Linked DNA regions of Oryzias latipes. The protein of the gene in region 1 interacts with the protein of each later gene in a biochemical or structural test. Links are inferred from orthologs where the notes say so. Each region holds a gene or a part of one and is shown on either strand. Other genes may lie near its edges.

Evidence for each region. The genes of interacting proteins can lie anywhere in the genome.
Region 2: the proteins of dapk1 (region 1) and klhl20 are reported together in a solved structure, tested with the Homo sapiens proteins (2 studies listed by BioGRID and IntAct, with this or other methods). The link is inferred for Oryzias latipes from reciprocal best matches to the Homo sapiens genes DAPK1 and KLHL20.

The regions. Positions count from the first base shown.
Region 1 is NC_019867.2:1,289,176-1,294,320, reverse strand, and holds part of dapk1 (death-associated protein kinase 1), read left to right. Parts: intron 1-1,128; coding exon 1,129-1,206; intron 1,207-1,790; coding exon 1,791-2,007; intron 2,008-2,836; coding exon 2,837-3,022; intron 3,023-3,092; coding exon 3,093-3,290; intron 3,291-3,369; coding exon 3,370-3,508; intron 3,509-3,774; coding exon 3,775-3,895; intron 3,896-5,145. UniProt on the Homo sapiens protein: Calcium/calmodulin-dependent serine/threonine kinase involved in multiple cellular signaling pathways that trigger cell survival, apoptosis, and autophagy.
Region 2 is NC_019875.2:20,576,233-20,581,377, reverse strand, and holds part of klhl20 (kelch-like protein 20), read left to right. Parts: intron 1-796; coding exon 797-1,054; intron 1,055-1,145; coding exon 1,146-1,254; intron 1,255-1,826; coding exon 1,827-2,033; intron 2,034-2,525; coding exon 2,526-2,684; intron 2,685-2,775; coding exon 2,776-2,870; intron 2,871-2,999; coding exon 3,000-3,115; intron 3,116-3,781; coding exon 3,782-3,965; intron 3,966-4,075; coding exon 4,076-4,219; intron 4,220-5,035; coding exon 5,036-5,145. UniProt on the Homo sapiens protein: Substrate-specific adapter of a BCR (BTB-CUL3-RBX1) E3 ubiquitin-protein ligase complex involved in interferon response and anterograde Golgi to endosome transport.

The DNA.
Region 1 (5,145 bases):
CCGTGGTTCCAAACCGTCTATGAAAAACCACCTCAAGGTTGTTAGTTTGAGCTTCTAGTCCTGACGGAACAACCCGGTTCTGATCCAAACCGAGCCTTTCATCAGAGACAATGCTGGTTTTCTTTGACATCTTTGTTTGTCTTCATCTTTTCTGGATGGTTGTGGTGTTTGGTTGCACTGCTTGATAGCTTTGGTTCAGCTCGGTTCAGCTCGCAGACCCGTCCCTTCAGGTTCTGCGCTGTGAGAACGGTTCCTCCAGAACGTTTAGGCAAATCTCTGCTGCTGAAGCCTTCAGGCTCTGAAATGAAAGATCACAGTTTTCTGCTGAAAAGGCTCTAAAATGCTTCAATGTCATGTTTTTACAGGTAAAAAACAAACCTTAACCTCATTTAACCTTCATTGTTCTTCCTGCTGAAACTGAAACGTCTTCTTCCTGGTTTTGTGGTTAAATACCTCACATGGGGCGGCGTTTTGAAAGAGTTTTCATGCTTCCAAATAATTTTGCGTTTGCATCACCGACCTGTATTCGAGCAGCTTTTTGTCTTTCTGTTTCGTTGGGGTCACTGGAACATCCTCTGGCTCGGCGCTGCGTCTTAGACGGCGTGCACGGATGACGATGGTAAAAAAAGTCTGAATTGATCCTTTTTGGAGGAGAACAGCTGCAGTTTGCCTGGACGGTGGTCTGTTGGCTTTAAAGTGATGGGGAACTGGTTTAGCTGTGGTTCTGAGTCTTCAGACGAACGAGCGTCACTCCTCGCCCCTTTTTCTCCAGAGGCTAATATTGAATGACAGCTGATCTATGATTCACGTCCAGGCGTCTTCAGGCTCACCTGCTGAGGACAGCGATGAGCCTCAGCAGTTCTTCAGGCAGCCGTTTCCTCCATTTACATGAAATAAAAGGCAGATTTTCAGGAGCTGGGGTTTGGATTCTGTTGGACAAATGACCAACACGTCACAGGAAAACACTGCAGCCAAAATCTGCACGAACGCCACTGATGTTCCTCAGGTTTTTAGGAGTCATGAACAGAGTCACAGCAGCTTCCAAAGCCAAACGTTGCTCCGCTGCTGCACCATCTGGCTGTCAGAGTCACTTCTGCCTGTAGAGATTTCCTCTTTTCTTCCTTTCAGGACGGAAAGACGGCCGAGGATTTGGCCTCAGCTGATCGACACGAGCCCATCGTTTCCCTGCTGTCAAAGCTTAAGAAGGTAAAGAAGCAGAAACGTCCCAAAAGTCTTTTCTGTTGCATTTCTGAGGGCTTCACTGCAGATGATGACGCCACACGGCTGCTCTTTGGTCGCCTTTCTACAGCCACACTCGATCACACGTGAAGCTTTTAGCTTCAAATGTTATGTTTTGGAGCGTCTTCCATGAAGCTTTGGGGCTTCCAGGCTTCAGCCGCCTCGAGCTCAGACGGTACAGGAGCCGACGTCGCCGCGGTTTGATCAGGAAACCCGCCGAGACATAAAGGCGAGCGTGAAAAGCCGCGAGCAGGAGCAGCGAAAACTGTCGTCTTCTGCATACGTTCAATACGGTCAGCTATTGTAGGAACCAGAATCTTCTACTTTCAAACAGAAACAGAGAATTCTGCTTCACCTCAGTTCCAGAATGATTAGAAGATGCATTTTTTGAGAGCAGCTTTGGTTTGAGGAGCTTTTCCTCCCACTCAAACGCTCCGTGTCAGAGGTGGCGATGACTCATTTGGCAGACGGGAGAAGTAGAAACGATGGAGAGTCCACAGCAGAAAGACGTCTCTTTTTGCTTTCTGATGTTTCCTCTCCTTCTGGGCCAGGACAACCTCAAGCTGAGCTTCATCCAGCAGCTGCGGCCCACCCAGAGCGTCCAGCCCAGAATCAAACTGAAGCTGTTCGGGCACTCGGGGGCCGGGAAGAGCACGCTGCTGGAGTCTCTGAAATGCGGCATCCTGCGCAGCTTCTTCAGGAGGAGGCGACCGCGCGGGAACAGCACAACCCGCCACCCCAACTCCCCCGTCAGCTCCAAGCCTGCAGGTACCAGACGCTCCTCTGATGCCCCTCCTCTGGAGGTACAGCAGGAACTTCACAGAAACTTGGATCTGAACCGAAATCCTCTTTTATGACAAATGTGCAGAGAAATGCCTCTTTCTGCTCACAAACATGGCATCTGTCACATTTTTTAAAGGCTAACACTCTGGTTCCCCCTAGTGGAAGTATGAGGAAAAGCACCACAGCGAACATGAAGGTTCATTCAGAAAAGCTGAAAAATCATCAACTTGACTTTAAAAGTCCTCTGTGTTTCAGTCGCACGGGGGACTTTTATTTATGTTATGTTAAGCAGCTTCATTAGAAGACAGACTCCTCCCACCAATGACCTTTAACTTCCTGATTCTGCAATGAAATGAAGAAAGTTCTAATAGAACCTTCAGTCTCTGTTCAAACACGTGCACACCCAAACACCGTGGATATGCAAGCATTAGTGCACATACAAGCATACGCACACTCATGCATTCTATGCATGTGCACACGCTTGCACACATACCCACAAGTACGCACAAACACACACGCATACTAGCAGGAATCCACTCCATGTGTGTGCACCTGCTTGAACACACAGGGAGATTTATGCACACGTGCATGCACACTGTGCACATGCATGCACACTCATACAGACACTGCATTAGCACGCATGTGCAGAGTGGACATGCATGTACTGCATGTGCACACACACTTTGGTGTTTTAATTCCAGTTCTCAGCTTTTCTTGGTTTTAGTTTGAAACAGCAGCAGATGGAGCTTTTTTTCAGGATTGTTTGGTTTCTAGAACCCGCTCTGACCGGCCTGCCTTCCTCCCCTGTCTGAAGTGTCGGTGAGCATCTCCAACTTGTATCCGGGCTGCGAGAACGTGAGCGTCCGCAGTCGCAGCATGATGTTTGAGCCCAGCCTGACCAAAGGCGTCCTGGAGGTCTTCTCTCCCGTCCACAGCGGCCTGTCCACGGCCGACGAACAGGCCACCAAAGCCATCGACATCCAGCACGCCAACATTCACGGTGAGGCGCCGACGGGCCGCTCCCGTCCATCTGCCTCCACGCGTGTTAAACTGCGGCCTGACCTCTGCAGGCGTGGGGGATTTCAGCGTTTGGGAGTTTTCGGGAAACCCCGTGTACCACTGCTCCTACGACTACTTCGCCGCTGATGACATCACGGCGATCCACCTGGTCCTGTTCAGCCTGGAGGAGCCGTACGAGACGCAGCTGGGCCACATCACGTACTGGCTGAACCAGCTGAAGGCGCTGACGCCGCCACAGGACAGCATCGGTGCGTCCCAGAGAAGCCGCTCGTAAAGTGTCGGACCGCTCTTCCCGGCGGTGAGGGTGACGTCTCTGTTGTCTTTCAGTCTTCGGAGGACGGATCCCGCAGCCGCTGGCCGCCGTCCTGGTGGCGACGCATGCGGACCTCGCCGGCGTTCCCAGGGCTTTCTCCGGAGAGTTCAGCTACGACAAGGAGCGGGCGCTGCTGAAGGAAGTCAGGAACAGGTGGGATCCAAAGCCAGGTTCACCTGTCCCATCTATTTCTGAACTATTAGTGGATCTGATCAGCTGATTGATCACAAAGAAGTCTTCCTCAGTTTCTGTTCAGATTCATTCTAAAGCTTCATCCATCAATAAATAAATAAATAAAGTCAATCTCAGGATTTCTTCATTTTCTTTATTTATTTTTTTTTTAAGAAACTTCCTTCCTCAGAAATAGTTGCACCAAATCTCTTCATCTTCACCCTCATCTTCATCTTCTGCTCCTGCAGGTTCGGGAACGACCTGCAGATCAGTGACAGGCTGTTTGTGATGGACGCCGGCGCCTCCAACTCCAGAGACGTGAAGCTGCTGAGGAGTCACCTGCAGGAGCTCCGCGCCGCCGTCATCTCTGTGAGCTCACGCACGCCGCTCGGGAACGCTGTTTCATCTGAAACGTGTGAAAAACCGACTGAAGTAGAAAACGGATCTTTGTTTGTCTAAAAGCTATAAAAACTGAAAGATATCAAACAAACGAACAAAAGGCTAAAAAAGACTTTGATCACAAAGTAGTCATTATTTTATTTCTGTTCTTTTGATCCTCATTCTGTTAATCTTATTTTAACATTAGAATTCAACTTTTGACAAAAGTTAAAAAAGTGAATTTCTTTTGAGTAAAATGCAGCATCCATTCATCCATCCATCTATCCATCCATCCATCTATCCATCCATCCATCCATCCATCCATCCATCCTTCATCCATCCTTCATCCATCCTGCCACACATACATACCACTAACACAGGGCTCCAGACTGCGAGCAATTGGTCGCATTTTGCGACCAAAATTTGAGAGTGTGCGACTGAATTTTACATCCAGTCGCACATGTACTACCAGTAAATTTGCTTCCCCCACCCTACGTATTTTTTATACATTAAACGTGGAAGGGGCACGTCAATGATCAATGAAATAATCAATGAGACGCAAGCCCACACGGACGCAGGCAGACACATACACACTCGCGCACATACTCATGAAACGCGAGCACGTACACACTCGCGTGATACCTGTCTGTGAGGCGGCCACTGCGTGAGAGAAGAATAGGGAAAGCCACTGTGAGTGGCTAAAATGCGTGGAGGGGGAGGGGCCTAGAGATAATCGAGTGCGCGTAAACATCTGTGGGAAGGAAACGGAGAGACAAATATCATCACAAACTGATATGTGCGTCTGAGCTATGGGCAAGTGAACTATTGATTCGTTCTTCCCACCTGCGGCTAGTGTACCAGTGCCAGAGTGTACAGCAGGGGTCTCAAACTCGCGGCCCGCAGGCTATTTGCGGCCCCCAAGATGATATTTTGCGGTTCCCGCCTTAATATGAAGGTTTAATGTTACTGCAGCCCGCCAGTTTGTATGAATGACACTTTCTCATTGTCGTGCGCGGAGCAGACCAACCAATCACAGTGGGGTAAATGACTCTTGGGGGCGTGACAATGACAGGGTTTGAAAGCAGGAAACCTGACAGCCCCCTCCCTCCCCGGACCACATTAAGGAGTTCCTTACTTTCCTTTAGAACGTATTTATTCGCTCGTAATTTTCTAAATACATGCAGCCCGTGCTGAACTTTTCTCTGGGCCGCACAGAACCGGAGGAAGGTTTAGGTTTTGGT
Region 2 (5,145 bases), on another chromosome or scaffold:
AAATGCCTGTGGGAGTTGTGAGCCTCCCTAGGGTGACAGCTGTTTAAGTGGACATGAGCGGGTGCCAGGAAGTCTTGGCTGGTTCCCGTGTCAACAGCTTTAAAAAGGTGGTAGTGATACACTGGGAGGAGTGACTTGTGTGGATACGGTTACACCTTATGCTACGTCTGAGGGGCACTGGCTCCAGTAGATTTCATTTTGTTCTCATCCTCAGGTTCTTAGAAAGAATCCAGGTTTATGTCATCACTGTAAAATGCAAAATATATTTTTTATCTTCATTTTTTTTTTAAATATTTGCTGAAAATTAAGTGTCCTTCTTTCTTAGCTTGTGTGATTGTGTAGTTTCTGCCAAAGGGTCCTTAGTTTCCAGATGTTTTCCTTGACATACGTAGGGTTTCTAGGACAGGACGGTGGTTGTTTATTTAGGTCAAAAGGTTTTATTAACATGTAAAAATAATAAGGGAAAAACAGGGTATGTGACAAAAAGTTAGACTTATTTTCTTATATGACCTTAACTTGAATGATGACCATAAAACATCTAATTTTGTTCCAAAAAAAGCTTTTTATCTAGATTGTTTGTGCAGAGGTTCAATGATTTCTTTTCAAGTTTCAGCCTATGGGTTAATGGGCCTTTAAATATTCATTTTATGCTTGCAGACTGATCAGCTGTTAAAAAAACCTCAAAAAGTGATTGAAGTGGGACCTAAACATTTCATTAAAAGTTGCCTTTTTGTGACACATACCACGTTCAAACCATGCATGTAGTTAATAATCGGCACGGTTTCTTCTCGTCAAGGGCCACTAGCGCACGTCAAGACACCACTGGAATGGACATCACCAGTCGCTGTACTCTGGGGGACCCCAACAAGCTCCCTGAAGGGGTCCCCCAGCCAGCACGCATGCCGTACGTCTCAGACAAACACCCGCGGCAGACTCTGGAAGTGATCAACCTGCTGAGGAAACACCGAGAACTCTGTGACGTGGTGCTGGTGGTGGGCGCCAAGAAGATTTATGCTCATCGTGTGATCCTGTCTGCCTGCAGCCCTTACTTCAGGTAGGAAAGAAGACTGTGGAGTCGCGCTGACCCTCCTTTAGATGAAACTTAAAGGCTTGTGCTTGAGTTTGTGTTTGACTGATGTTTTTAGGGCGATGTTTACTGGAGAGCTGGCAGAGAGCAGACAGACTGAAGTGGTGATCCGGGACATCGATGAGAGAGCCATGGAGCTGCTTATTGACTTTGCCTACACCTCTCAGGTAAGAGCTGTAAAAACGGCTCCAACCCTCATTTCAATGCAGGAACATGATGAAGCTAAAGGGGGAAAAATAGGATAATGCTTGTCGATATTTCTTCAATAAAACTTTTTGGACAAAATCCAAACCTGTATACAGTAGTTCCATTTGAGAAGTGACTTTAAAATGCTTTCAAATAAACCAAAAGACTTGCCACACATTTATCAAAACCAAGTAAATGTATAGTCATAGTTGGAGAAAAAATAGGGAACAGTCTCATTGTTTTGGCTTTATATCCTGGCTTTTTTTAAACTTTGACAAATTAGAAAATCTGATTAAGATTAACAACTAATCATTTATGCACATTTCTATATTTCAATAAATCTCCATGTACGGCTGCTCCTTTCCTGAAGAATCTGCAGACATTTTGATGATCATGCACCTAACAATCGTTTGTTCAGAGCAGAATAAGGTTCCCTCTTAAAATTGAAATAGATCTAGAAATCTAGAAATAGACATACACTGCATGAGTGATTTGTATTTTTTTCTTCATGCAGTCCTAAAACCTTTAAAAGGCGTCTCTTGTGTTCTCCCAGGTGATTGTAGAGGAGGGAAACGTCCAGACGCTGCTTCCCGCCGCCTGCCTTCTCCAGCTGGCTGAGATCCAGGAGGCCTGCTGTGAGTTCCTCAAAAGGCAGCTGGATCCATCCAACTGCCTGGGCATCAGGGCTTTCGCAGACACGCACTCCTGCAGGGAGCTGCTGCGCATCGCAGACAAGTTCACACAGCACAATTTTCAGGAGGTGAGAGCATTATTGTAGAGAGCCTCCTGTGAAGGCTGTATTAGAATTAATATTACTGATTGTCTTTTTGGAGCAATCCGTTAGTCTGTTCAGTTTCATCAGTTTAGTTCAGGGCGCTGTAACCTAAAGCTCTGTAGACTTATGTGGCTCTTTTACCCCTCTAGTGCAGCAGTTAAAGAAAAATATATAAAGTTTTTCATTTAAAATAGTAAAGATAACATACCACTCTGCGAGGTTCCTGACCACGGTGCCCATAATACTCCAACGATCCATCAAGCGGTACGTAGGGACGTAACAAAAAGCATTGACTGAGTACAGTTCATTGTTTTTACTGTTGCAGTTTTTTTAGCCGCAAAACGTATTTTCTATATCAGCTTCATAGAGCTGCAAATCAAAAGAGGAGGAAGAAGTAAAGTCTGTTTTGTTAAACCTGATTCTCTGGTGGAAGAGGAGAAACTTAAAGAAATTCTGCATTGCATTGTGATGCCGTAGGTAATGGAAAGTGAAGAGTTCATGCTGCTGCCTGCCAACCAGCTGATTGACATCATCTCCAGCGACGAGCTGAACGTGCGCAGCGAAGAGCAGGTCTTCAATGCTGTCATGGCCTGGGTCAAATACAGCATCCAGGAGCGCAGGCCTCAGCTGCCACAGGTTTGTTGAAGCCCATAGTGTTTCTGCTTATAAAGGGACACGGTTGGCTTCTGATGTGTGAGCGCCCTTTCACCTTTTGCATGCTCTGCAGGTCCTGCAGCATGTCCGTCTGCCGCTGCTCAGCCCCAAGTTTCTAGTTGGAACTGTGGGTTCAGACCCACTCATTAAAAGTGACGAGGAGTGCAGGTGGGTGGGGTTTTGTGGGATCTGCATCCAAGACTCCACTCAAGTTTCTGTAAATGATGTTTATTATGACAAATATTGAAGACGACACAAAAATGGACTCGACCGCTTTGTTTTCCTGCATTTTCTCAGAGATCTCGTAGACGAAGCCAAGAATTACTTGCTGCTGCCACAGGAGAGGCCGCTGATGCAGGGTCCCAGAACCCGGCCCAGGAAACCCATCCGATGTGGAGAGGTTCTTTTTGCAGGTTAGTACGGTGGCCCTGAAGTACAAACCACAAACAAATATAATAAAGATCACAACAACAATCAGAAAAACAAATGATTAAAAAACCCCACTAAACTTTAGAAAACCAAAGTCATTTCCAGACATCAAACTGAAATGGTCAAAAATGAAAGAAAATTAGAAACCGGAAATAGGGAATTTATCCGGGGACATCACTGATTGAAGGAGGATGTTTGAGTTTTGAAGAATAGGTGGCTTAAGGAAGGTTTGAAGAAATATCTTGTCAGCAGATATTGCCATGCTAAATAACCTCCAGTTGAAAAGGTGAACAAACGTCATGATCCAGTCACTGTCCCATGAAACCTACTGTTTTATGTTTCTTTTTTTCCGAAAAATTGCTTTTCATTTCCAAAACATTTCTCTTTTTTTTTTAAATTATGTTTTGGTTTCTGTAATTTTGTTGTGATAAAATGTAAATAGATTTTTTATTATTTTTTTTTTTCTGTTTTATTTTGTTGCTGTGATCTTTAATCTGGTTTAGAGTCGAGTGATTTGTTGATGTGTTTTGCCCTTCAAGGCCACCGTAGGTTGGAACAGAAAACCGTTTTTAGAAGAAGTCAGTCCATTAAACTTTTAGCTTTCTGCTATTTATTCTCATGCTATGTTCTCTGTACTCTTTGCTCTGCAGTCGGGGGCTGGTGCAGTGGAGATGCCATTTCCAGCGTGGAGCGCTACGACCCGCAGACTAACGAGTGGCGCATGGTGGCGTCCATGAGCAAACGGCGGTGTGGAGTTGGAGTTAGTGTCTTGGATGACTTACTTTACGCAGTGGGAGGTCACGACGGCTCGTCTTATCTCAACTCTGTGGAAAGGTTGTTACTTGAGTCCTGGCGGTTTTCTCTGATCAGTGCTTTTGACCGCTTTTCCTCTGTACATCATTAGTTACATTATTTGTCTCATTTTGTTTTTTATTTACTGCCAGATATGATCCAAAGACAAACCAGTGGAGCAGTGATGTGGCCCCTACCAGCACATGTCGCACCAGTGTGGGCGTCGCCGTGCTGGGTGGTTATCTGTATGCTGTGGGAGGACAGGATGGCGTGTCCTGCCTAAACATTGTTGAAAGGTAAATGACAGAACGCAGATAATCTTATTTCGTCTCATTTTGTTCTTGGATCTAATTAATCCAATAAATAGCAGCTTATTTTTCTGGACGCATTGGAATGGAGTGGAGCAAGTCTTTTTTAAACGGCCTTTTTCCTTCTGTTCCTGATTCACAACAATTTAAAAAGAGAAAACTGCAGAAATTAAATTTTTAGCAGAAAAATGCCAGAGGAACATGTTAAAAACGCCCAAAACACAATTATTTCTCCCATAATGGGTCTTTAACCTACATTTTAAAATGCATTTGTAAATGCACTTAATTACAGCCTCTTCACTTGTTTCTGATGCATTAGATCTTAACTGTGTTTCTCACTACACCTCATCCTGTAATATGAGCTAACACCATTATGCTGGCTGCTGTTTACTCCATCAACAAAATGCTGAGTCCTCATTTGCTGCAGAAAATAGATGTGGGGAATATTTCAGCGGGAATCCCAATTGTTGTTATTCACAGTTGATGTTGACCAGATGGGTGGAGGTGAGGCACATTGAAACTTTTGCAAAAAGTCTTCCAGACTGGGAACAATATTTAAAACAACTTTGAAGTGTCCTAAATGTTTAACCACAGATGTGTTTTTGGGGCAGTCACACGTTACCTGTGTGGTTTGTGTCTCCAGCATCCCGTGCTGCATGTTGCTGTCTTTTTCACCCGGAAGCTTCAAACATTTGTATTCAGAGTACAGTTCAGGATCCGTCAGTGGAGAATGTGAACGTCTGTTGACCTCCATCATATTCTGCTGATGCGAGAAGCTTTGTCTGTACTTTCTCACGGCTTTAGGTATGATCCAAAGGAGAACAAATGGACCCGAGTGGCCTCCATGAGCACCAGGAGACTGGGGGTTGCCGTTGCTGTCTTGGGAGGATTTCTTTATGCTGTTGGGGGGTCTG